Arabidopsis thaliana: one gene and its partners. The protein of the gene in region 4 binds, or shares a complex with, the protein of the main gene of each other region. Each region holds a gene or a part of one and is shown on either strand. Other genes may lie near its edges. The genes, in order: TAF15b, TAF11b, HAF2 and TAF5.

Evidence for each region.
Region 1: TAF5 (region 4) and TAF15b share a complex: the UniProt entries of both Arabidopsis thaliana proteins name them as parts of the TFIID complex.
Region 2: TAF5 (region 4) and TAF11b share a complex: the UniProt entries of both Arabidopsis thaliana proteins name them as parts of the TFIID complex.
Region 3: TAF5 (region 4) and HAF2 share a complex: the UniProt entries of both Arabidopsis thaliana proteins name them as parts of the TFIID complex.

What each region holds. Positions count from the first base shown.
Region 1 is NC_003076.8:23,636,883-23,642,962, reverse strand, and holds TAF15b (TBP-associated factor 15B), read left to right. Parts: upstream 1-1,989; 5' UTR 1,990-2,108; coding exon 2,109-2,295; intron 2,296-2,425; coding exon 2,426-2,519; intron 2,520-2,641; coding exon 2,642-3,275; intron 3,276-3,414; coding exon 3,415-3,565; intron 3,566-3,644; coding exon 3,645-3,723; intron 3,724-4,273; coding exon 4,274-4,397; 3' UTR 4,398-4,515; exon of another isoform or gene 4,516-4,667; 3' UTR 4,668-5,548; downstream 5,549-6,080. Other genes in the region: AT5G58480 (O-Glycosyl hydrolases family 17 protein), read left to right, coding at 137-480, 650-1,736. UniProt on the Arabidopsis thaliana protein: TAFs are components of the transcription factor IID (TFIID) complex that is essential for mediating regulation of RNA polymerase transcription.
Region 2 is NC_003070.9:6,936,375-6,939,412, reverse strand, and holds TAF11b (TBP-associated factor 11B), read left to right. Parts: upstream 1-1,746; coding exon 1,747-1,838; intron 1,839-1,992; coding exon 1,993-2,515; downstream 2,516-3,038. Other genes in the region: TUB5 (tubulin beta-5 chain), read left to right, coding at 349-618, 698-1,380; AT1G19990 (nucleolin), read right to left, coding at 2,748-3,038. UniProt on the Arabidopsis thaliana protein: TAFs are components of the transcription factor IID (TFIID) complex that is essential for mediating regulation of RNA polymerase transcription.
Region 3 is NC_003074.8:6,572,585-6,577,608, forward strand, and holds the start of HAF2 (histone acetyltransferase of the TAFII250 family 2), read right to left. Parts: upstream 3,030-5,024; 5' UTR 2,969-3,029; coding exon 2,935-2,968; intron 2,699-2,934; coding exon of another isoform or gene 2,683-2,698; coding exon 2,458-2,682; intron 2,207-2,457; coding exon 2,115-2,206; intron 2,025-2,114; coding exon 1,850-2,024; intron 1,457-1,849; coding exon 346-1,456; intron 195-345; coding exon 1-194. UniProt on the Arabidopsis thaliana protein: TAFs are components of the transcription factor IID (TFIID) complex that is essential for mediating regulation of RNA polymerase transcription. Core scaffold of the TFIID complex.
Region 4 is NC_003076.8:8,675,066-8,682,865, forward strand, and holds TAF5 (TBP-associated factor 5), read left to right. Parts: upstream 1-1,983; 5' UTR 1,984-2,051; coding exon 2,052-2,227; intron 2,228-2,540; coding exon 2,541-2,622; intron 2,623-2,707; coding exon 2,708-2,786; intron 2,787-2,902; coding exon 2,903-3,000; intron 3,001-3,098; coding exon 3,099-3,155; intron 3,156-3,271; coding exon 3,272-3,359; intron 3,360-3,452; coding exon 3,453-3,562; intron 3,563-3,689; coding exon 3,690-3,797; intron 3,798-3,875; coding exon 3,876-4,027; intron 4,028-4,209; coding exon 4,210-4,320; intron 4,321-4,394; coding exon 4,395-4,464; intron 4,465-4,553; coding exon 4,554-4,590; intron 4,591-4,738; coding exon 4,739-4,894; intron 4,895-4,983; coding exon 4,984-5,060; intron 5,061-5,156; coding exon 5,157-5,273; intron 5,274-5,690; coding exon 5,691-5,956; intron 5,957-6,420; coding exon 6,421-6,516; intron 6,517-6,604; coding exon 6,605-6,677; coding exon of another isoform or gene 6,678-6,722; exon of another isoform or gene 6,723-6,936; coding exon 6,937-6,993; and 2 more. UniProt on the Arabidopsis thaliana protein: TAFs are components of the transcription factor IID (TFIID) complex that is essential for mediating regulation of RNA polymerase transcription.

The DNA of each region.
Region 1 (6,080 bases), about 15 Mb from region 4:
CTAAACACCGTGTCGTTTTGATAGCTAAATAACAGTGAGATGCTGAGTCGTGAAACGGCACGCAGTGTTTTGTTTTTTTAAACATTGAATTTCTCGGCCCGACATTATCGTGGAAGTACGAGATTCACTGGATTTGATGGCTCGTCGGCTGTTTCTCCTCCTCCTCGCCGTCACGGCAGGGTTGAGCTTGACGGGAACAACCGTCAGAGCAGTTGGCATAAATTGGGGGACAGAAGCGTCGCACCCTCTTCCGCCTTCAAAGGTTGTAGAGCTTCTGAAATCAAACGGCATTGTCAAAGTGAAGCTCTTCGATGCCGACCCAAAAGTTCTCCGAGCTCTCTCTGGTTCTAATATTGGTGTCACTATCGGAATCCAAAATTCGATGCTCAAGAGCTTGAATGCATCCGTAAAGGTAGCAGAGAGCTGGGTACATGACAATGTCACTCGTTACTTCAACGGTGGAAACAGAGTTCGAATCGAGTATCTTCTTTCTCCTTCTCTTCTGCTTATCCAGTTATATATATATAGATTTAAGATTTTTAAGCTGGAATTTAACTTATGGAATGTGAATGAGTCGGATTTGTTTCAATGCCAAATTGCCAATCTTCTTATTGTGAAATTATCATTAAAGAAAAGAATTGATTTTCAGGTATGTAGCAGTTGGAGAAGAGCCATTTCTCCAGAGCTATGGCAATCAGTATAAGCCTTTTGTGATTGGGGCAGCTATGAATATCCAAAATGCTTTAGTTAAGGCGAACTTGGCAAATGAAGTGAAGGTTGTAGTCCCCTCAAGCTTTGATTCCTTTCTTTCTGAATCTGGTCGACCTTCTTCAGGACACTTTAGGGCTGACCTCAACAAGACGATGATTGAACTCCTCTCCTTTCTCACAAAGCACCACTCTCCTTTTTTTGTGACAATCTCTCCTTTCCTAAGCTTTCACCAGAACAAGAACATCTCCCTTGACTTTAGCCTCTTTAAAGAAACAGCAAAGGCTCACAAAGACGGACGTAAAACCTACAGAAACAGCTTTGATCTAAGCTATGACACACTTGTCTCTGCATTGTTCACAATTGGGTTTTCGGAGGTGGATATCGTTGTGTCAAAGATCGGTTGGCCTACAGATGGAGCAGAAAATGCAACATCACTGACTGCTGAGGCGTTCTTTAAAGGACTGATAGTTCACTTGGAGAAAAAGACGGCCTCTCTCCCGCGTCCTCCTGTTGAAACCTACATTGAAAGTCTCTTGGACGAAGATCAGAGAAACTTATCTGCTGGGAACTTTGAGAGGCACTGGGGAGTGTTCACTTTCGACGGTCAAGCCAAATACAATTTCAGTTTCAACCATAAGAATCAGGTAAACGCGCAGAATGTTCAGTACCTTCCTCCTAAGTGGTGTGTGGTGAACAATAACAAGGACTTGTCAAACGCGTCAGCAAGAGCATTAGAAGCGTGTGCTGTTGCGGACTGTACATCGATACTTCCTGGCGGGTCGTGTTCAGGCATCAGATGGCCAGGCAACGTTTCATACGCGTTCAATAGCTTGTACCAGCAAAATGATCACAGTGCAGAAAGCTGCAACTTTGGTGGACTTGGTTTGATCACTACTGTTGATCCTTCTGAGGATAATTGCCGGTTCTCGATTCAACTTGACACTTCTCATTCATCTTCGCAAACTCCAAATTTCTTTCAGAGCTGGCCTCTCCTCTTATTGTTCCTACTGTCCGGACTCTTTTAAAGTTGTAGTTATAGCAAAATTTTGGTGGATTTTGCCTCTAATTTCTCTCTAATAGCCACATTTCAAAACTGTATTGGGCTACGTAAAAAATAACTGTTATTGGGCTGGGCCTTCGTAAAGGTTAGATGATTATGGGCCTTAGAACCATGTTGTCTTATTTGATAAAAAAAGCAAGTCCAGTTATTTTGGGAAACCGGTCGGTAAAAGATAAGATGTAAAAGAATTTAAGATTTAAGATAAATGCAATAATAAAGTTCCACTATTTTTGAGAGAAATATAAATAAAACGCGAGATTTTTTATTCTACGTCTAAAAAGGCTCTCACACGATTCGTTAAGAGTTTTGGTCTGTTGTTTATCGCAAACCCTAGGTCATGGCTGGGATGTACAATCAAGACGGCGGCGGAGGTGCGCCTATTCCGTCGTACGGTGGTGATGGATACGGCGGAGGGGGAGGTTATGGAGGTGGTGATGCTGGATATGGTGGACGCGGTGCCTCTGGCGGAGGTAGTTACGGCGGACGCGGTGGTTACGGTGGAGGCGGTGGTAGAGGAAATCGAGGTTTGTGATTTAGATTGTTGCAGATCTGATTGATATAACCTTATGATTCTTTAGATTTCTCCATTCCTTGCTGAGCTACTTTTGTTAAATCTTTAGTTTCTCACTATTTCGATGATTCGTTTTGATTTAGGCGGTGGAGGTGGTGGATATCAAGGAGGTGATCGCGGTGGAAGAGGAAGTGGCGGCGGAGGCAGAGATGGAGATTGGCGTTGTCCCAACCCCAGGTAATGATTGCAAATTATTTGGGATTCCATTCTTTCTGCATATGTAATGAATTGAATTAGCTGTTGAATTCCTTTGTGGGAGCATGTTTTGAAATTGTTTACCCTCGAAACTGTTTGTATAGTTGTGGGAACGTGAACTTTGCAAGGAGAGTTGAATGTAACAAGTGTGGTGCACTTGCTCCTTCTGGTACTAGTTCTGGTGCTAATGATCGTGGAGGTGGTGGATATAGCCGAGGTGGAGGTGACAGTGATCGTGGGGGTGGTCGTGGTGGTAGAAACGATAGTGGTAGGAGCTATGAGAGTAGTAGATATGATGGTGGAAGTAGGAGTGGTGGTAGCTATGGTAGTGGTAGTCAGAGGGAAAATGGTTCGTATGGTCAGGCTCCTCCTCCTGCTGCAGCTATTCCATCCTACGATGGTTCTGGAAGTTATCCTCCACCCACGGGTTATGGAATGGAAGCTGTTCCCCCGCCTACAAGCTATTCTGGTGGCCCGCCGTCATATGGTGGTCCACGAGGGGGTTATGGCAGTGATGCACCGAGCACTGGTGGTCGTGGTGGTAGGAGTGGCGGCTATGATGGTGGTAGTGCTCCTCGACGGCAGGAAGCTAGTTATGAAGATGCAGCTACTGAAAAAGTCAAGCAGTGCGATGCTGATTGTGATGATAATTGTGATAATGCTAGAATATACATCTCTAATTTACCTCCGGATGTGACAACTGATGAACTCAAGGATCTCTTTGGTGGCATTGGCCAAGTAATAACACTGGTCTTTTACTTCTGTTGTGTTTTATATCTTGGAATAAGCCTTTCCCTTGCTATAAGTTATTAAGTTCTTGTTTGTGTACATGTTTATTGGTGTGCTGATAAAGTGTGTCTGGTTGGATCTATTTTAGGTTGGAAGAATTAAGCAGAAGCGTGGTTACAAAGATCAGTGGCCCTATAATATTAAGATTTACACTGATGAGAAGGGTAACTATAAAGGTGACGCCTGTCTGGCTTATGAAGATCCCAGCGCTGCACACTCTGCAGGCGGCTTTTTCAACAGTATGTACTATGGAATTGCTGTCTAGCTTAAAATTGTTTAAAAGTTCTGTTTCGTGAATGGTGGTGGATTGTTTTGTAGATTACGAAATGAGGGGGAACAAGATTAGTGTAACGATGGCAGAAAAGTCTGCGCCCCGTGCTCCTACCTTTGACCAGAGGTAGCTGTCCTGATCATTTATCAGCATTCTTTTTTGTTACCATTTAGCTGTTACCACCTGCTCCATCTTATAGGTGTTTGTACTCTAGTTGTTTTAGGCTTTTAGCTTTATAATTTTAGTAGGGAATATGAGTTTTTGCAATGCTAAGTTTATGTTCCTTGTCTCTGAAGACTGTTTGGATCTTGTATCCTACTGGGGATTTGCTTTGTACACTCATCTGGGTATGACAGAAAGGGTTGGGAGTTCGTATGTCATCAAATTATGCCTTAGGTCTATGTTCATGCCATAGGAAATAAATCTATGTAGTTATCTTGTAACCTATAGCTGTGGCTGCTCTTGGTTGTGAAGAGATCTGTTGTTTGTTCATGCTTCTTATAAGCTCCTAGTAATTCCCCATATAAGTTGTATCTTTATCTGGTTTTCCATGCTCTATAAGACTCGTCTTTGTTGTGTGTTGAGTCACTTCATCTTACGTAGTAAGCTGGTTTTAATTAGAGATGTCTGTGTCTGATCTAATAATGTTGTCCTTGCAAACTTGTGAATGTCGCAGAGGTGGGGGTAGAGGAGGAGGAGGTGGTGGCTATGGTGGTGGTGGGGGAGACAGAAGAAGAGACAACTACAGTTCAGGGCCAGACAGAAACCACCATGGGGGAAACCGGTCTCGTCCATATTGAGAGAAAGAGAGGAATGAATGAATCAGCTGTTATGTGTTCTAAGAGTTTTGTGTGTGTTAAGGAGGGAATTTTAGTAAAATGTTCTATGAATCCTCATATTGGAGATACAAAAAAAGAGGTAGGTTTTTGTTCACTTTGACCTTGAGCAAAATTACCCCTTTTTTCTCCCTACTTGTTCTGTTTCTTTGGGGATCTATTATTCATGCATCTCCGGTTTATTTTTAGTTTGTTTTTCACGATGTGAAATGTTTGTTTTTTGTTTTATTGAAGGAAGCTGATATTTAACTGCAAAATGCATTGCAAATTGGTGCTATGATGATTTCAGGTGAGTGCATTCATCTTGATTACTTCTTTCAACACCAGAAGTCCCTTTTTTGCTTCTCTTCCTTCTTTTTTTGACTCTGTTCAACACAAACAAAACAGTCGTATGTTTTCATGTTGTATTGTGTAATGCATTCATTTAGGCAACCACACTTCTCTTTACAATTTTCGGAGTTGTTATCGTTTTTTCTCGCAAACTTCTTTTATAGCAACATGTGTTCCTCGAGAATTGGCAGGAGTGGGGGATGGCTAGGCACTTGTGTCTGATCAGTTGATCTGAAGTATGCAGTGACCTTTCAAAGATCAACTTGATGATTTTATTGCCAACTTCACTCACTGGGGCTATGATTAGGATTAGGGTTTTACAAATGAGTGGCCTTTTTTTGGATAAAAGACGTTGTTAATAAATAGTTAATCGTTCAATCTGGATCCCAAGGACTAAAGAGAAGGGTGTCTCGTAAAGTTCTCTATGTGTATATGTCATGACCTTTTGGTCAAGTGCCGGATTGGCCAACTCTTTAATGTGTTACATGTAACGAAAGTTTATGTTGAAATTATAGGAACAAAAAAGACTAATGCCGAAAATCCCAAGAGAAAGTTTATTAATGACTTGTTGTGTAGAAAATATGGACGAGAGAAAGAATCCAGGAAATTTGGAATCCTGTAACATTAGTTTCAAGATTCCCATTCTCAATTCGACAAAGAGAATCCATCTTCTAACATTGCATATTCACAGCTCAATCGCTGGCTGGCTCTAGCACACGGCGATATTACTTATTTACCATCCCTTTCACACACATATTGGATAATATACATATTCTTAATAAAAGTCCACCAGTAGTCTTAAGCATAAATTTACAAAAAAAAAAAAAAAAAAAAAAAGTAAGGCAGTAACAATGTAATTCTAACAAACTGCTTAGATGTGTGAAATCCAGATATTTGTAAGTTGTAACTTGTAAGACCACACTATTTAATACTTAATGTGTTCTTAACCTCAAATTGACAATACCTGCGATTTTTCTCACTTTCGACACAATTTTCTATATGATTTGAACTTCAACAATTCTATATAAAAAAAGGTAAAATATTTACATGCAAATAATAAACTTACCCATTACCATATCTTGTATACAAGAAGCTAAACGAAGGAGGGAATGAAGTAGGAATCACATATAAGCAAGAAGAAGCTATGGAACTCAGGATGGATAGCGCCAACAGATATACATGTACGCATATACAAAACATACAGCACTGGTGAGCCATGGCGCTATCCCTCCTGAGCTTTATAGCTATTTCTCTACTACTCAATCTGAAATTTACATCCATAGGTATGCATCTTCCTTTACATATGTGTTATAATGT
Region 2 (3,038 bases), on a different chromosome or scaffold from region 4:
GATAATGCTTGTGGAGCCCAAACAACAATCTCACGTGATTCGTTTTTTTAGTTACTTTTGGTCAGGTCTCACGTGATTCGTTTTATACATTGATTATTTAACTTCAATTATAACTATGAGTCTATGACTACTAGTGTGCATTGTTATTATTGGGGAGAAATATTTTTTAACGCATATTGTAGATTCATTGATTATTGTTTTAAAGCATTGTAGATTCACATAAACATTATAGTTGATTTAGTTAGCAAGGACTAGTAACAAGATGTTTGCTTGACTATATATGAACACTTTTTCGTCTCATCGATGGAACCAATACTATGTGAATCATGGGGCTGCATTATTTTACAGGGTTTCAGGTGTGCCATTCGTTGGGAGGAGGCACAGGTTCAGGAATGGGAACACTATTGATATCGAAGATCCGAGAGGAGTATCCAGACAGAATGATGCTCACTTTCTCTGTTTTCCCATCTCCTAAAGTCTCTGACACAGTCGTTGAGCCTTACAATGCAACTCTCTCTGTCCATCAGCTTGTAGAGAACGCTGATGAATGCATGGTCCTCGACAATGAAGCTCTCTACGATATCTGCTTCCGTACCCTCAAACTCAGCACTCCTAGCTGTAAGTACACCCAATTCTTATCCTCCATTAACCCAAAATGTATTTAAAACTAATTCTGATACATTGCATGATGATGTAGTTGGAGACTTGAACCATTTGATCTCCGCAACAATGAGCGGTGTGACTTGCTCCTTAAGGTTCCCCGGACAACTAAACTCTGACCTCAGGAAACTCGCGGTGAACCTAATCCCATTCCCTCGTCTCCATTTCTTCATGGTGGGTTTTGCGCCCCTCACTTCCCGTGGCTCGCAACAATACATCTCACTCACCGTTCCTGAGCTGACTCAACAAATGTGGGACTCCAAAAACATGATGTGTGCAGCTGATCCACGTCACGGACGTTACCTCACAGCCTCTGCTATTTTCAGAGGACAGATGAGCACAAAAGAAGTCGACGAGCAAATCCTAAACATACAGAACAAGAACTCGTCTTACTTCGTTGAGTGGATCCCAAACAACGTGAAATCCAGCGTTTGTGATATCCCACCAAAGGGGCTCAAAATGGCGGCGACGTTTGTGGGTAACTCGACGTCGATTCAAGAAATGTTCAGGAGAGTGAGTGAGCAGTTCACGGCTATGTTTAGGCGTAAAGCGTTTCTGCATTGGTACACAGGAGAAGGAATGGACGAAATGGAGTTTACGGAAGCTGAGAGCAATATGAATGATTTGGTCGCTGAATACCAACAGTACCAAGATGCTACTGCTGATGAGGAAGGTGAGTATGATGTTGAAGAAGAAGAGGAGGGAGATTATGAGACTTGATCCACCAAATCAAACATTTTACTTAAAAGACAAGGAAACGACTCTTGGAAATCTCTCTATTTAAATTTGATTGAAAAACATTGAAAAAATGGGAAATTTGTTTAAATGTGTTTTTTGTTTGAGTAATTTGTTCAAAGAAAGTTTGAAGTTTCCATTTATTTTGGGTGTCTTGTATTTTCCATTTGAGATAATACGTCCTTGCTTCTCAAGCTACTGTGTAGTATATAAATTTTACACTTCTCTCAATTGTCCCACATCGAGTAAATTAGTATAAAGGAAGCTAAACTTTTGCCTCTATAAATAAAGATACTTCATTTCCCACCGACTTTTACATTTGGGCTTCTTAAAAAATAGGCTTGACAATAAATGGCCTTTAACGCAAGGTCTTGTTGTTTTGCTAGTAGCAACGAGCGGGTTACTTGTAACTGCAATTGTCTGAAAGATCAGCCAGTGCCAAGGTACTTGTAATTACAAGTACAAAAAATTGATTTCTTTGAGTTCATGTTCATGTCGGATTTTTTCTAGTGTGGTCGGATGTGCAACAAAAAAATTGGCTGAATTTTGGAGTTTTAAGATCCAAAGATATGTGATTTTCGTTAAGGTTTTATTAAGAATGAAGCATTCGAAGGATCCGTTTGAAGCAGCAATGGAGGAGCAAGAGGAATCACCTGTTGAAACCGAGCAGACTCTTGAAGGAGATGAGAGAGCTGTGAAGAAATGTAAAACGTCCGTTGTTGCTGAAGCGAAGAACAAAGATGAAGTTGAGTTCACCAAAAACATAACTGGTGCTGATCCTGTGACTAGAGCCAACAAGATGCAGAAGATTTTATCACAATTTACAGAGGAACAAATGAGCAGATATGAATCTTTCAGAAGATCTGGTTTTAAGAAATCAGACATGGAGAAGTTGGTACAGAGAATCACAGGGGGTCCGAAGATGGACGACACTATGAACATCGTTGTGCGTGGTATCGCAAAGATGTTTGTTGGCGACCTTGTGGAAACAGCTCGAGTTGTTATGAGGGAAAGGAAGGAATCAGGACCTATTAGACCTTGCCATATCAGAGAGTCATATCGAAGACTAAAGCTCCAAGGAAAAGTGCCTCAAAGATCAGTTCAACGGCTTTTTCGCTAGTCAGAATGACGAGGTTACAAAGTAGTGACATGGACGAAGAGTAACTATCATGCTCTAAACCAAACGTGATTAAGTCTTTGCTTAATAACTAAAGAAGTACACGATAAGATCAGAAACAATTGGCCATCTCTCTCATTACTCTTAAAGAATTCACCTTTCAAGCATTCTACAAATTGACTCCCTAAGAAACGATTACAAATAACACAATGAGATTTCAGTCTTTTAATTCAACCTACTTGGCTCTAGCCTTTTTAGAGACTCTGCTAGCCAAAAAATCATCATCTGAGTCGTCATCATCAGAGTTCTTCTTCCTCTTCTTCGTGGTTGGTTTCGAATCATTTCCCTTCTTTTTGTTTGACAAAGCTTCAGATGGCGACTTTTGTACTTCCTTCTTCTTCACGGTCACTGATTTGGAGTTGCTTCTTGGAGTAGAAGCAGCAGATTTTACTGGAGAACTTAATTTTCCACCCTTTTGCAGTTTCTTCTCAAGAACTTTCTTTGCTTTTTCGGCTGGAAGCAATCC
Region 3 (5,024 bases), on a different chromosome or scaffold from region 4:
TAGAAGCCTTGGCTTTTAAAGAAGAGACAGATTCCTCTCTGCCGACGGTTAGCAGTGATCCTTTACCCCCCAGACTCTTAACAACAATTGTCATGGAACCTTGGGTGGGTAAAATTTTTTGCTGCTTTATGGCTAGCTCATTGTCATGTGGATACCACAGAGCTTTGGGCCGGTGAAAATTTGCTCTCTCTTTACTGCAATGAGTTAAATCAAAACTTTTTAACATAAACCACTAAAAAAATGTATTTAAAAAATATATCCAGTGGCAACATTGAGACCACACACGAATGTAACAATGAAGCGTACAAATACAATAAGATGTAAAAATTCAAATGACTCACTTACTTGCTCAATTTGATCTTCATCGTCTGCAATTTAATCGCTGGTGCCGAATGGAAAACTCTCAAACTGTGTACGGTAGATTTCTTAGCATTTCCTTGCAGTTTCTGAGCGCTTTTCCCATTCATATAGAATTTGTCATTAGAAATATTGAATTGCCACCCAGAATTTGATCCACAGCCTTCTTGAAAGGATCCGTCCTTGGATTTTGAAGATCGAGATACAATCCTAGATCCAGCATGAAGTTGAAGATATTTTCTTTCCTTATTGTTCGGAACTTCAAAGATCATTTGCTCATCTTGAAGATCAAATATTAGTTTAGACCTGCTCAAATCTTTATCTGACTCCCATATTATGCTATCTAACCATGACTCATCCCACATATCCCTATCTTGCAATGCAAGTCCACTCAAGCGCCCACGAGCGTCACTATTAAGCTGCTTTAAATTCTCCCGTCCAGCATCGCCATTTTCCCTATAATGATCCTCATCCCACTGAGATTCTAATCTAAGGAGTTGTGGATGATGTCTACTTTTGTTAGTGGACTCATTTGTAGACTGGGAACCTCTTGAGCCAAAAGACTCCAACGGATTTACAAAAAAAGGCTCGAGCATGTTGTTATTGTCCCCTTGAGTTTGCCCTCCAGAGTTCATCACATTTAAGCTTTCTTGTTCAGTCACTGAATTTGAAGCCCTCACCTGTACCATTATACCTGCTGACTCAAGTCCAGATTTGAAGCCCTCACAACAATTAGCACTAAATTGAGGAGAAATTTCCCAGAGTATTAGATGTTCCCATTCTTGCTGGTCTAGAGGGAAAACTTCCATTGTTAATTGAGACTGACAGAGAGATGAATTATCGTCTTTTAAGTCCTGCTTCAACAGTTCACCCATGATACATGAATCCCTTCCTAGCTTGGTAAACTCTCTCGATTCTGATGTAGTATCCCTTACTATGCCAGATTTTACCAGCTGTGAACGCTCTCTGATTGGTAAGGGAACATCCAGCTGAATTTGATCAGTTTTTTTCCCATGAGTGTCAATCCTACCATGGCTCTTCAGGAGTACCTCCTCATCGTCTTCGATAAGCTCAGAAATATCCATAGATATGTATTTGTCTGTACCAAAGAAGGCTATGATGTAAGAGTCTCATATGATAATTGTTTTCATAGAACTTTCTCAGCTATTCTAGTTACATTAAAAGAAGTGATGAATTACAAACAGAAAAGAACAATGCAGAGAGATAACGAGAGAAACAGAGAAAATAATGTATATCATTTCAGAAGCACCAAATATACATATCTACTAAATTCTTGCCAAGAAAAGACAGAGCCACATACAAAAAACTTCTCATGCTTTCGACACCTAATGGCTTTTAGAATTGAACGGGAGATACTGAAAATCTTGAGAAATCATTGTTGTTGTAGATTTTAACATCCCAATGGAAAGCACAAAAAATTCAAAGGCTTTTGAGAATAAACAAAATTAGGAAGCCGTTGCAGATCACATACCTCTATAAGTGATACATCTAATTTCTCTCTTCTGCCGTTTCTTCTGTGGCTCTTGTATAGCAAATATCTCAGAGAATTGTAAGATGACCATACCATCATCTTCAAGATATAACGTAGGCAGCGGGGTGACACGTTTCTCATCCAAAGTAGCTTCTGATAATCCAACCACCAACTCCTGAACGTTTCAATGAGATCACTAACAGAACAAAATCATTCCACAACAAAAAAAGATGTTATCTGAGACACCGAAATCATTCTTGCTGACCTCCTGGACATCTCCTGTGTCCATCTGATTCTTATTTCCCAAGATGCTAGCCTCCTTTTCATGCTTTACGGGCTTTTCCTCCTTCAAGACAACTGCGAAAATAATGTTTAGTGTCTCATAATCACTAACACAAAAGGAATCTAAGAAAAGTTCCAAGAGTTCTGATCTCTAGTATTTATGACGCACTGGACTCCAACTTAACAAGAGATTATTTTCCCGAGCTAAACAAGTATAAGTGTTGAGAAAACTAAACCAATCTGAGATTAATGAAATGACAAAACAAAAGTAGAGAATAGAGTGTGCTAATCGTTTTGTTCAAGAAACGGAAATTTCAAAAGCAAACCTGGTTCCCTCTCTTCTGAATCAAAAGATTTCTCAACTGGTACATGTTCCTTCTCTTGTCCTCCTTGTTCATCATAATCTTCGTCGTCAAACACAGAAGCTCTGGAATTTAAACCACTCAAAGCAAATGCAGCTGATAAGTACTCTCTTTTTGGTAGTAGGTGATCTTCCTCAGTAACTACTTGAAGCTCAGGCCCATCATACTCTTCATCATTGCTCCCATAATCTACACGACATATCATCACAAGTCAGTGAAGCTGATGACCGGGAATTGGTAGTGGCAAATAGTTTCAGTTTGTAACTGCTATGGGTGGGACTTGTTGCGTATATCAAAATCTCAAACATAAAAACCTTCTATTTAATTAACTCAAAACGCTGAGCAATAAATTATCCCACAATAAGTAGATTATGACTAGAGCAAAACTAGGAGAATGCAATACACTAATGAAGAAACCATGTAAGAAACTGCAAATATAACCTGCGGAAGTCTCGTTGTCGTTGGACTCAGACATAATAAAACCCTCGAATGCAAAGAGTGGCGTGACAATTTTGCTTCCCAAATAGCAAAGGAACTACTGAAAAGAATCAGGAGCAAGAACAAATCCACGACTCAACGAAAACCTACAAGGGAAACATACCACCATCAAATTTTCCGGTACAATTAGGGAATAACAACGTTCATACCCAAGTACCAATTTTCGTCAAATTTTGTTGTTTAGTAAGGAACCAAGAACAAAACCCTCGTTGATATCTAACCGAGACGACGACATTCAACGTTATGTGGGATTGGCGGTTTCCTAATTGAGAGTATGTACACATTTAGCCGGAGGAAGTGAAGCGGAGCTCAATCGGGTGATTGGAAGATACAACGGAAAGAAGAAATCGTCTGAGGGATCAAAGAGGCGGGTATTAACATCGGAGTGGTAATTTATAGGGAAAAGTTTATAACCCGCCCCGATTCTGATTTAGTTGTCCCGGGTCCCATTTTTTTTTTTGCACTTCAAAGATTATGTTTATTAATGGTCCACAGAATACAGCCCAATAAAAGCCCATTTAGTTACATATCCCGGGTCCAATAAAGTAAATAATTAGTCAAAAATTATATAATTAAGTAATTAATAATTTTGATGGAAATTTGGCAAGACAAGTAAATAAATAAGAGTAAAAGTGATTTTCTCGCATATTACTCTTCTTCTAGATTTTGGCGCTTTTTTAAAATTTACGTTAGAAATACTAAATAAAACAAACAAAACCTATGCCCTGTTCGTTTTCCTGTCGCTGGATCCAGCGACAGCGACCAACGACCAGCGACAGCAACCAGCGACAACATATATTGTTCGATTGTCTGTCGCTGGACTCAGCGACCAATTACATCAACAATCGCTAATAATTGTCGTTGTGTTGTTCGTTTGACTGTCGCTATAAACAGTCGCTATATTTTTTTTTAAAATTAATTATTTTTGGTACTAATTTATATTTTAAAATCAAAATGTAAATCATATATATCATACACCATGAGAAAAATAAATTAATAGATTTATTTATTTTAGTTTTATCAAATTTAATTTGACTATAATTAGTTTATGTTATTTGAATTTAATTTATTTTAACTTAATTTAATAAGAATTATTTTAATTAAACTAGAACTCAAACCTTTCTTGATATCGCAGAGAAAAATATTATAAATTTATTTATATAATAATTTCTTTAAAACAAATCTAACTCCAAATGATGCATATTCTAAATTTCGTAGTTATTCAATAGTATATATATAACTAACCGGAAAAAATAACTGTAAATATTTTGACAGAAAATTACAATATAGGAAGGTTGCAATAAAAGACACAAGCGAGAAAAAACAACCATCAATATTTTTTACGGAAAGTTGCGATTAAAAGACACAACCGTTCAGAGTGCAAAAAGACATTTATTTTAAGTTTAATTTAATTTAATTCTGTTTAATTTAATTATTTTTAATTATTCTTTAATTTATATTTTTTGATCGCTAAATTGTTCGTTTGCATGTCGTTGGATCCAGCGACTAAAACCAGCGACTAATCGCTGAAATCAGCGACTGATCGCTAAAAATTTCAGCGACCAAAAATTGCGGTCGCTGGTCGCTGGCGATTGTCGTTACTTTTGATCGCTATGCAAACAAACAACTTTTGGTCGTTGTCGCTGGTTTCAGTCGTCAGCGACAGGCAAACGAACACAGACAAGCAAACGAACACAGGCAAACGAACAGGACCCTAATTTACCAAAATGAAACAAAATATAATTATCCATGTCCAAAAAGAAAAAGAAGAACAATAATTGTCATATGACAAAATTAAAGGATATACTTGTTACGGTGTATATTGTATAGTCTCTTTATTTCATTCTTATAGTAACAGACCCAAACCAAACCAAATCCTACGCAAAATTAGTCTATTTTTTTTATTTTATCTCGAACTTTGACATAAGCCGCTAGGAAATATATATTTTAATCACGAGGCGAGATAATTCGAATTAAAATGGACCCTCTCTAGTCTCTACTGCTTTTTTCAATGTCTTAGCCGTTTGAATATT
Region 4 (7,800 bases):
AGCTTATCATGAAGATGTTCCGTGCAAAACACATCCTTGAAATAGTAACAGTGAGATAAGATATAAAACATCTTATTAATAAAATTTTGTGATTGATTGAATTTGACTCCCCTGTAAAAAACAACAACTGATTTTAAAAACCATACATAGAAAACTATTTTATAGAACAACAATAAATACTAGTTTTTCACTATATAAGGACTTGATTGGTTCTTGAAAATTATATGTATTGATTATTGGGAGATTTGCAAAACTAGCCTTTTTTTACTACCCTTTTGCAACAATACCCTTTCATGTTGTCCATTTTTAAAAATATCTCTCCCCTTGAACAAAATGACCAAATTACCCTCATCTAATAAAAACATGTAATTGGAAACTGAAATTTTCCCGCCAATTTTTTGGCGCCAAAATATTTTTTTTCCCGCCAAAAAAAAGTTTCCGCCAAACTTTTTTCCAACCAAAAAAAAAAATTCCCGCCAACAAAAAAATTTCCCGCCAAATTTTTTTTTCGTAAAAAATTTTTCCTCAGCCAAAAAAAATATTTTAAAAATCCTTGTAAATATTTTTTAGCGCCAAATAGATTTACAAGGGATTTTAAAAGGATTTTAAAAGATTTACAAGAGATTTTTAAAAAGTTTTAAAAAATTTACAAGAGATTTTAAAAGAGTTTTAAAAGATTTACAAGAGATTTTAAAAGAGTTTTAAAAGATTTACAAGTAATTTTAAAAGGTTTTAAAATCCCTTGTAAATCTTTCAAAACACTTTTAAACCCTTTAAAAATCTTTACAAATCCTATGTAAATATTTTAAAACCCTTTAAAATCCCTTGTAAATATTGTAAAACCCTTTTAAAATCCCTTGTAAATATTTTAAAATCCTTTTAAAACAATTTTAAACCCTTTAAAAATCTTTAAAAGACCTTTGTAAATCTTTTAAATCCCTTTAAAATCTCTTGTAAATCTTTTAAAACCCTTTTAAAAATCCCTTGTAAATCTTTTAAAAACCTTTTAAAATCCCTTGTAAATTACCCTTTTAAAATCCCTTGTAAATCTTATAAAACCCCTTTAAATTGCCTTGTAAATCTTTTAAAACTCTTTTAAAATTCCTTGTAAATCTATTTCCCGCCAAAAAAAAAAATTGACGGGAAAAATATTTTTGAAAACAAAATTTGGCGGGAAATGTTTTTCAAAAATTTTTGGTGGGAATTTTTTTCGAAAAGGTTTGGCGGGAAAATTTTGGCGGGAAATTTATTTTAGAATATTTTAGGCGAAAAAATATTAATATTTCATTTTGTTAACCTAAAACAATTTCCAAATAAGGGTAAAATGGTAATTAAAAATTTAAAGAGAATATAAATAAAAATGGATAAAACAAAAGGGTAGAGTTGAAAAGGGGCATCATGAAAAGGGCATTTGAAAGAATTTTTCTTGATTATTTGATATCCAAAATTTTATAATATATTTTTAGAAAACGAGTTAACCATTGTGGGAGGAAATAACTGACCTTGTCTTATATACAATAAATTGTTGCAAGTGTTTAGTTTAACCATTGTAACATTTGATTTAAGAATTATTGTTTAAATATTTTTAAACTGGGTGTTTTGGAAAGTTATTTTTTTTTTTAAATAAAAGTTAGAAATTTTGAGAAGATAACATTTTTTTGGATAATTTTCAATAATTCTGTAAGAATTAATTACTCAAACAATAAATATTGGTATCTTGTCCCAATCTTTAAGTTGAAATAGAGAATCCAAAGCAAGTAATTTAAAAAGAAAATGGTTATGAGATTTTACATCAAAGTAAGGTCATGGGCTTATAATTCAAAAACTCTTAGTAAATTTTGAATCTGGGCATTTGCCCAACCTGCCACCCCCATAGACGGGCCTGGTTTTAATCATAACTTTGAAATTATTATATTTGGGCCACAATTAGGCCATTGAAACAGGCCCAGTTTTGTAGAGACACGGAATCTAAAAAACTGAAGATGTTTCAGCGACGAGATACAAGTTTCTAGGAGAGGAAATTGAATCGAGAGAGAGAGAGAGAGACAACAATGGATCCAGAGCAAATCAACGAGTTCGTCGTGGGCTACTTGAAGAAGAAAGGATTCAGTAGCGCTGCTAAAGACCTTGAATCTTATCATCACCAGAACAATAATGGTAGCTCCTTCACTTCTGTCGATTATCATAACGATCCTGAGCTCACGAAGCTCATTCGCTCCTTTTCTCAGTAATCTCTCTCCCTATCTCTCTCTCTCGTTTCAATTCTTAATGCGAATTGTGTTTTGAATTTTTGGGAAAGTTTTAGTGTCTTTTGTGAATTTTGAAAACCGTAAGGAAAAATTATGTAAGCTCCAACGTTTTTGAGAATCTAAAAATGAATATAATTCACTTTCTGGGTGAAGTTTATGTGAATATTTCTATCAGTTTATCTGTCAAATTTAAGATTTTGATGACATCTCAGTGGCAAGAAATTAGGTTTTTTTGTATGGCTTATGTAGAGAGAGCTAATGGTAATGAAATGTCTGTTCTTTTGTTTGCAGACAAGAAGATGATCCAACTCGGTACCGTGAAGGTTACAGCAAACTAAGGTCATGGGCGTATAATTCTCTGGATTTATATAAGGTGGGGATTTTTTTTTGTGTATCCCTTGGCTGTTTTGGGTAGAGACAGGCTTAATTGAACTGACGAGATGATTCTAATTTTGTAGCATGAATTGCTTCGAGTGATGTATCCTGTGTTTATTCATTGTTACATGGATCTGGTGGGGAAAGGGCACACTCAAGAAGGTACTTGTCAATATAGCAAATTAGATGTACTGAGTATTTTTTTTACCTTCGGTATAAGATTTTTGGAAACAGTGACTTATGCTACTGTGGGAAATAATACGTCTCTTGTATTCCAGCTAGAGCCTTCTTTAACAGCTTCCGCAAAGATCATGAGATGGTACACTTACGGGATCTTCAGAAGCTTGAAGGCGTGCTTTCTCCATCTCATCTAGAGGTTTATGATAAACCTTATATGGTCATATAATATTGATAATGGATTTTTTTTTTTTTTTTTTTGGTTATTATCTTTCTTATGATCTTGGTTCTTATCAGGAGATGGAGTTTGCTCGTTCTCTTAGAAAAAGCAAGGTTAACATCAAGTTTTGTCAGGTAGACTTGAGTGAAAATTGACTAGTAGCTGTAATAGGCAACTGCTTCGAGGTTTCTGGTCTGATTAACTGAATTCCGTGACTGCAGACCTCTAATATGCTTACTGAATGTTGCAGTATTCATATGAGCTGTTACTTCAGTATCTACATAGTACAGTATCGACTTTAATGCTTGGTATTATTAACGAGCACATCAATTTCCAAGGTAAATGTGTTTCTTTCTCTTATATATGCGATAGCTTGTAGCAGTTTTTTGAGTAGAAAATTGAATCAATTGGTCATGGATAATTTGTTGCAGTCTACTCGGGACAGCCTACTTCCTCATCCGATGACATAGAAGCTGTCACCATTGTCGGGAGTTTTCAGGACACTGCTAATCACATTAATCAAAAAGAAATACAGTGGGGAGTACGTATTTCCCCTAAAGTTTCTTTTCTCTTCTATTTTTCCAGAGTTATAACATGTTGATGCCTCATCCCAGGGATGATAACATATTTGCGTAGTTAATAGCTACATATGCATTTTTCTTTTACAGTTGCTTGAAGATTCACTAGAAGATCGCCTTGAGAAGACAGGAGGTCTGCTGTCTGATTCTGAGAAGGGACAAGGAGAAAGTAAAGACGGGGATGCAGATGATAGTAAGGTGATACATAGCTTCAACTTAGTCAATAATTTCTGAACTGAAATCCCGTTTTTACTCGTCAATTGATTCTGTGTACAGAAAAGATCCACTGAAATTGGAAAGCAAGGCTCTTCCTTAAAAAAGTTGAAGAAGGACAAAGCGGGTAATGCAACAGCAAAAGTTGCACGTCTGGAGACCATTACGGTGTCACCGGCGCCGCGTGTAAAACCAGAACTTGCCTTGCCAGTAATGTACTTTCGAATCCCTTACCCATTTTTTGTGTTGGGATTTGATTAAAAAGGAATGAACATGTGATATCTATGGGTGATGCATGATTGTTTAGGAGAAATGAACATAGTCTTTGTATTTGTCAAAGACTCAACCTCCTTTAACATAAATCAATTTTGCTCCATCTCCTTGTTTTCTCTGTCAGGTCCACAGATGTAGAGCAATCCATCCTTGAAGACCTTAGAAACCGTGTGCAGTTGAGTAGTGTTGCAATGCCATCAGTCAGCTTTTATACATTTGTGAATACTCATAACGGGTAATGTCCACCTCTCCTCCTAATTTTAACTACTTATTTGCAACCTTGTTACTCACTCTTTTATTCTCCCCCAGGTTAAACTGTTCATCTATATCTCATGATGGATCTCTGGTTGCTGGTGGGTTCTCAGATTCTTCAATAAAGGTATGTTATTCTCGGATGGTTGGATACATTTCCCTTTTTTTGTTTTCTTCCTCTCTTAAATGATGCCAAGTGACAATTATGGTGTTCAGGTCTGGGACATGGCTAAGATAGGACAAGCTGGCAGTGGTATGTTAATTCTCTGAAAAATTGTATTGACATCCACGTTTAAGAATGATATTTATCTCATACGTTTCGCTTGTCATTTTTGTTGATTTCTCATAATGATTGTTTTTGTTTCCATGAGAGTTATAGACACTAAGCTGTCTGGTTCCAGGTGCTTTGCAGGCTGAAAATGATTCAAGTGATCAAAGCATAGGACCAAATGGCAGAAGAAGTTATACATTATTACTGGGTCATTCAGGGCCAGTTTACTCAGCCACTTTCAGTCCCCCTGGAGATTTTGTTCTATCTTCTTCAGCAGATACAACAAGTATGTATCTGTCCATCACTTTACAAATCCATACACTGGCTCATTAGTTCAGACTTTTTTAGTTACCAACCCTGTATTCATAAGTGCAGTACGACTGTGGAGCACAAAACTAAATGCTAATCTCGTGTGCTACAAGGGTCATAATTACCCTGTATGGGATGCCCAGGTATAGTTAATTCAATTTAACCCATGTTTCTTACATAACCTGCAATTTATGGTGGCTGGACATGTATATATATTATATACTCATTTTATGGTGCAGTTTAGCCCTTTCGGTCATTACTTTGCAAGCTGTTCTCATGATCGTACTGCACGGATTTGGTCAATGGACCGAATACAACCTCTTCGGATAATGGCAGGGCATCTATCTGATGTTGATGTGAGTGTCTCCCTCATCTTCATTGTTTGGGTTTAATTTGCAAAGGTTAAATCGAAGGGACCAATTGAGTTGTTAATTAAATGCATGGATAAATTTCTTAAAACGTTTTATTATGCAATTGAAGTCATTAATTCACCGTATCAATGTTTACAATGGTTTATCTAACATTTTACATTGTTTATTGACTTAGATTAGTACCCACTTGTTATTTTAACGTGACCCTGACATTCATAATTTAAGAATCGTCCAGTTTATAGTTGATCCAAAGATTGTTAGCCAATACGCTTAAAGTCATAAGGTTACGATGGATTACTTAACTATTTGGATTGACATTAAGTCAGATCAGTAACTTCAATTTTTCTTTGGATACCTATTGATGCGACTTTCGTTGTACTTGTCAAATGCATTTGATTTCAGTGTGTACAGTGGCATCCCAATTGTAACTACATTGCTACCGGTAGTAGTGATAAGACGGTTAGACTCTGGGATGTGCAAACTGGAGAATGTGTCCGGATATTCATTGGGCACAGGAGTATGGTTTTATCATTGGCGATGTCTCCAGATGGGAGATATATGGCTTCCGGTGATGAAGATGGCACTATAATGATGTGGGACCTCTCAACTGCTCGCTGCATCACTCCTCTCATGGGCCATAATTCATGTGTCTGGAGTCTCTCATACAGGTGAGGTGTCAAGAGAAGAAGAAAATAGCTTTATTTGATCATTCAACTTTTATTGAGTTAGTAATACACAATGAAAACGTAATATGATCCTTTTTTCAGCCAACTATTGGTTTTGGTTGATATGCTTTATCATCTCTGGAATTTCTTCTAGGACAACATTTTTTAAAGGGTAGTTCAGGGTTATGATATAGAGTGGTATGGTGTGGCTATTTCTATTAATTCTACAGTGACTTACTACTGAACTGGTAGATTTTTCTATATCCACGCACTCTTGTGTTAGCTCTAACATAGGGTTCTTGTCATGGGTTGTGGAATGTTGTATAGGCCTAATGTGTTGGGTCGTTAATGGAATGACTGGTTTTGGTTGGTAAAATCCACTTGCTTGGAATATTGGAACCGTAAACTCCACTTTGATAAATCATAGAACTACTACAATTTATGACTAACCTGTTTTCCTGTTTCAGCGGGGAGGGCTCTCTTCTGGCTTCTGGATCCGCAGACTGCACAGTGAAACTGTGGGACGTCACTTCAAGTACCAAATTGACAAAGGCCGAGGAAAAGTGAGTTTGCTCTTTCAAGTTGTATTGTTGTTCCCTTTGAATGGTAGATTGTTTTGTTAAAAACGATTTATCATTTGTGATTGATCAGGAATGGAAACTCGAACAGATTGCGCTCACTCAGGACTTTCCCCACCAAGTCCACACCAGTTCACGCTCTCCGGGTAAGTTATGCTTTCTTTACTAGAATTAATTCCACCATTCTCTAAACACCGTGGTATTTCTCTCATCCCTAAGTTTATCATGTTGTGCTTGTGATCAACACATCCCGATAATGAGTGACCAAACACTTGATTAGAACCAAAGTTTCAGGGTGTGTGCCAAACAGATTTTATCCATCAGTATCATATAGAACCTTTCCTCTAACACCTAGGATTCGTTGATCGAGGCATACACTAAAACTCATGTTTTACATTGATGCAGTTTTCTCGGAGAAATTTGTTGTTTGCTGCAGGAGCGATCTCTAAACCCGCAAACTGATCAAAACAATGGTATCAGATATTGATGCTTTAACATTCTTACAAGCTGTTGTAGATCTCAGAAGAAATCAGGTGTAGAATAGTTATCTCCAAAGATTATTTGCTTGTGGCTTTTGTTTCTCATTTCTAAATCCCAAAAATGTTGAAGATTCTTTTAATGAACAACTACTCCTGCTTATGTATGCCATGTGTCCCAATCCAGGAATCACTTATCTTCGACTTGGAGCAGATTTACTTTAAGCATGTCAAAGCCACATTCTTCCTTCTAATAAACACCCTAGTTTAAGCATGTCACCTCTATCATGAATCAAAACCTACTCGAAATGAATAAGGCAAAGAACAACAACCAAATATTCTCAAAATTTATAACGTTAATAAAATAGAAACATGTAATGAATCTCCCCAAAAAGACATCGTGTGTCGAGAGAAATCTTTCTTAAGACAGGGTGGGTGGTTATGTGGTATGTTGTGAATTATGTTTTTTCTTAGAGAACATATTTTTTAGAAACTTTTCAGATACTAACATATTTTTTATTTTGTGAAAACATTTAATTCTCCTAATTTCTAGAGACGGTACTTAAATAAATAGAGAGCTGACGACAAAAATAAAATAAAATTGAGAGCTGAAGAAGAAAAGAAAGAAAAAAACATGTTTTGAAAGACATTTGCATCAAAATTTTGGATGAGACATAAAATCTACCAAAAGTAGATTTGGTTGTGTGACTAGACAATTGTCTACATTTGGAATTATATGTGGGAATGTGGTACTCGTTATCTTCTTATATGAGATCTCTCCCGGTCAGTTTTC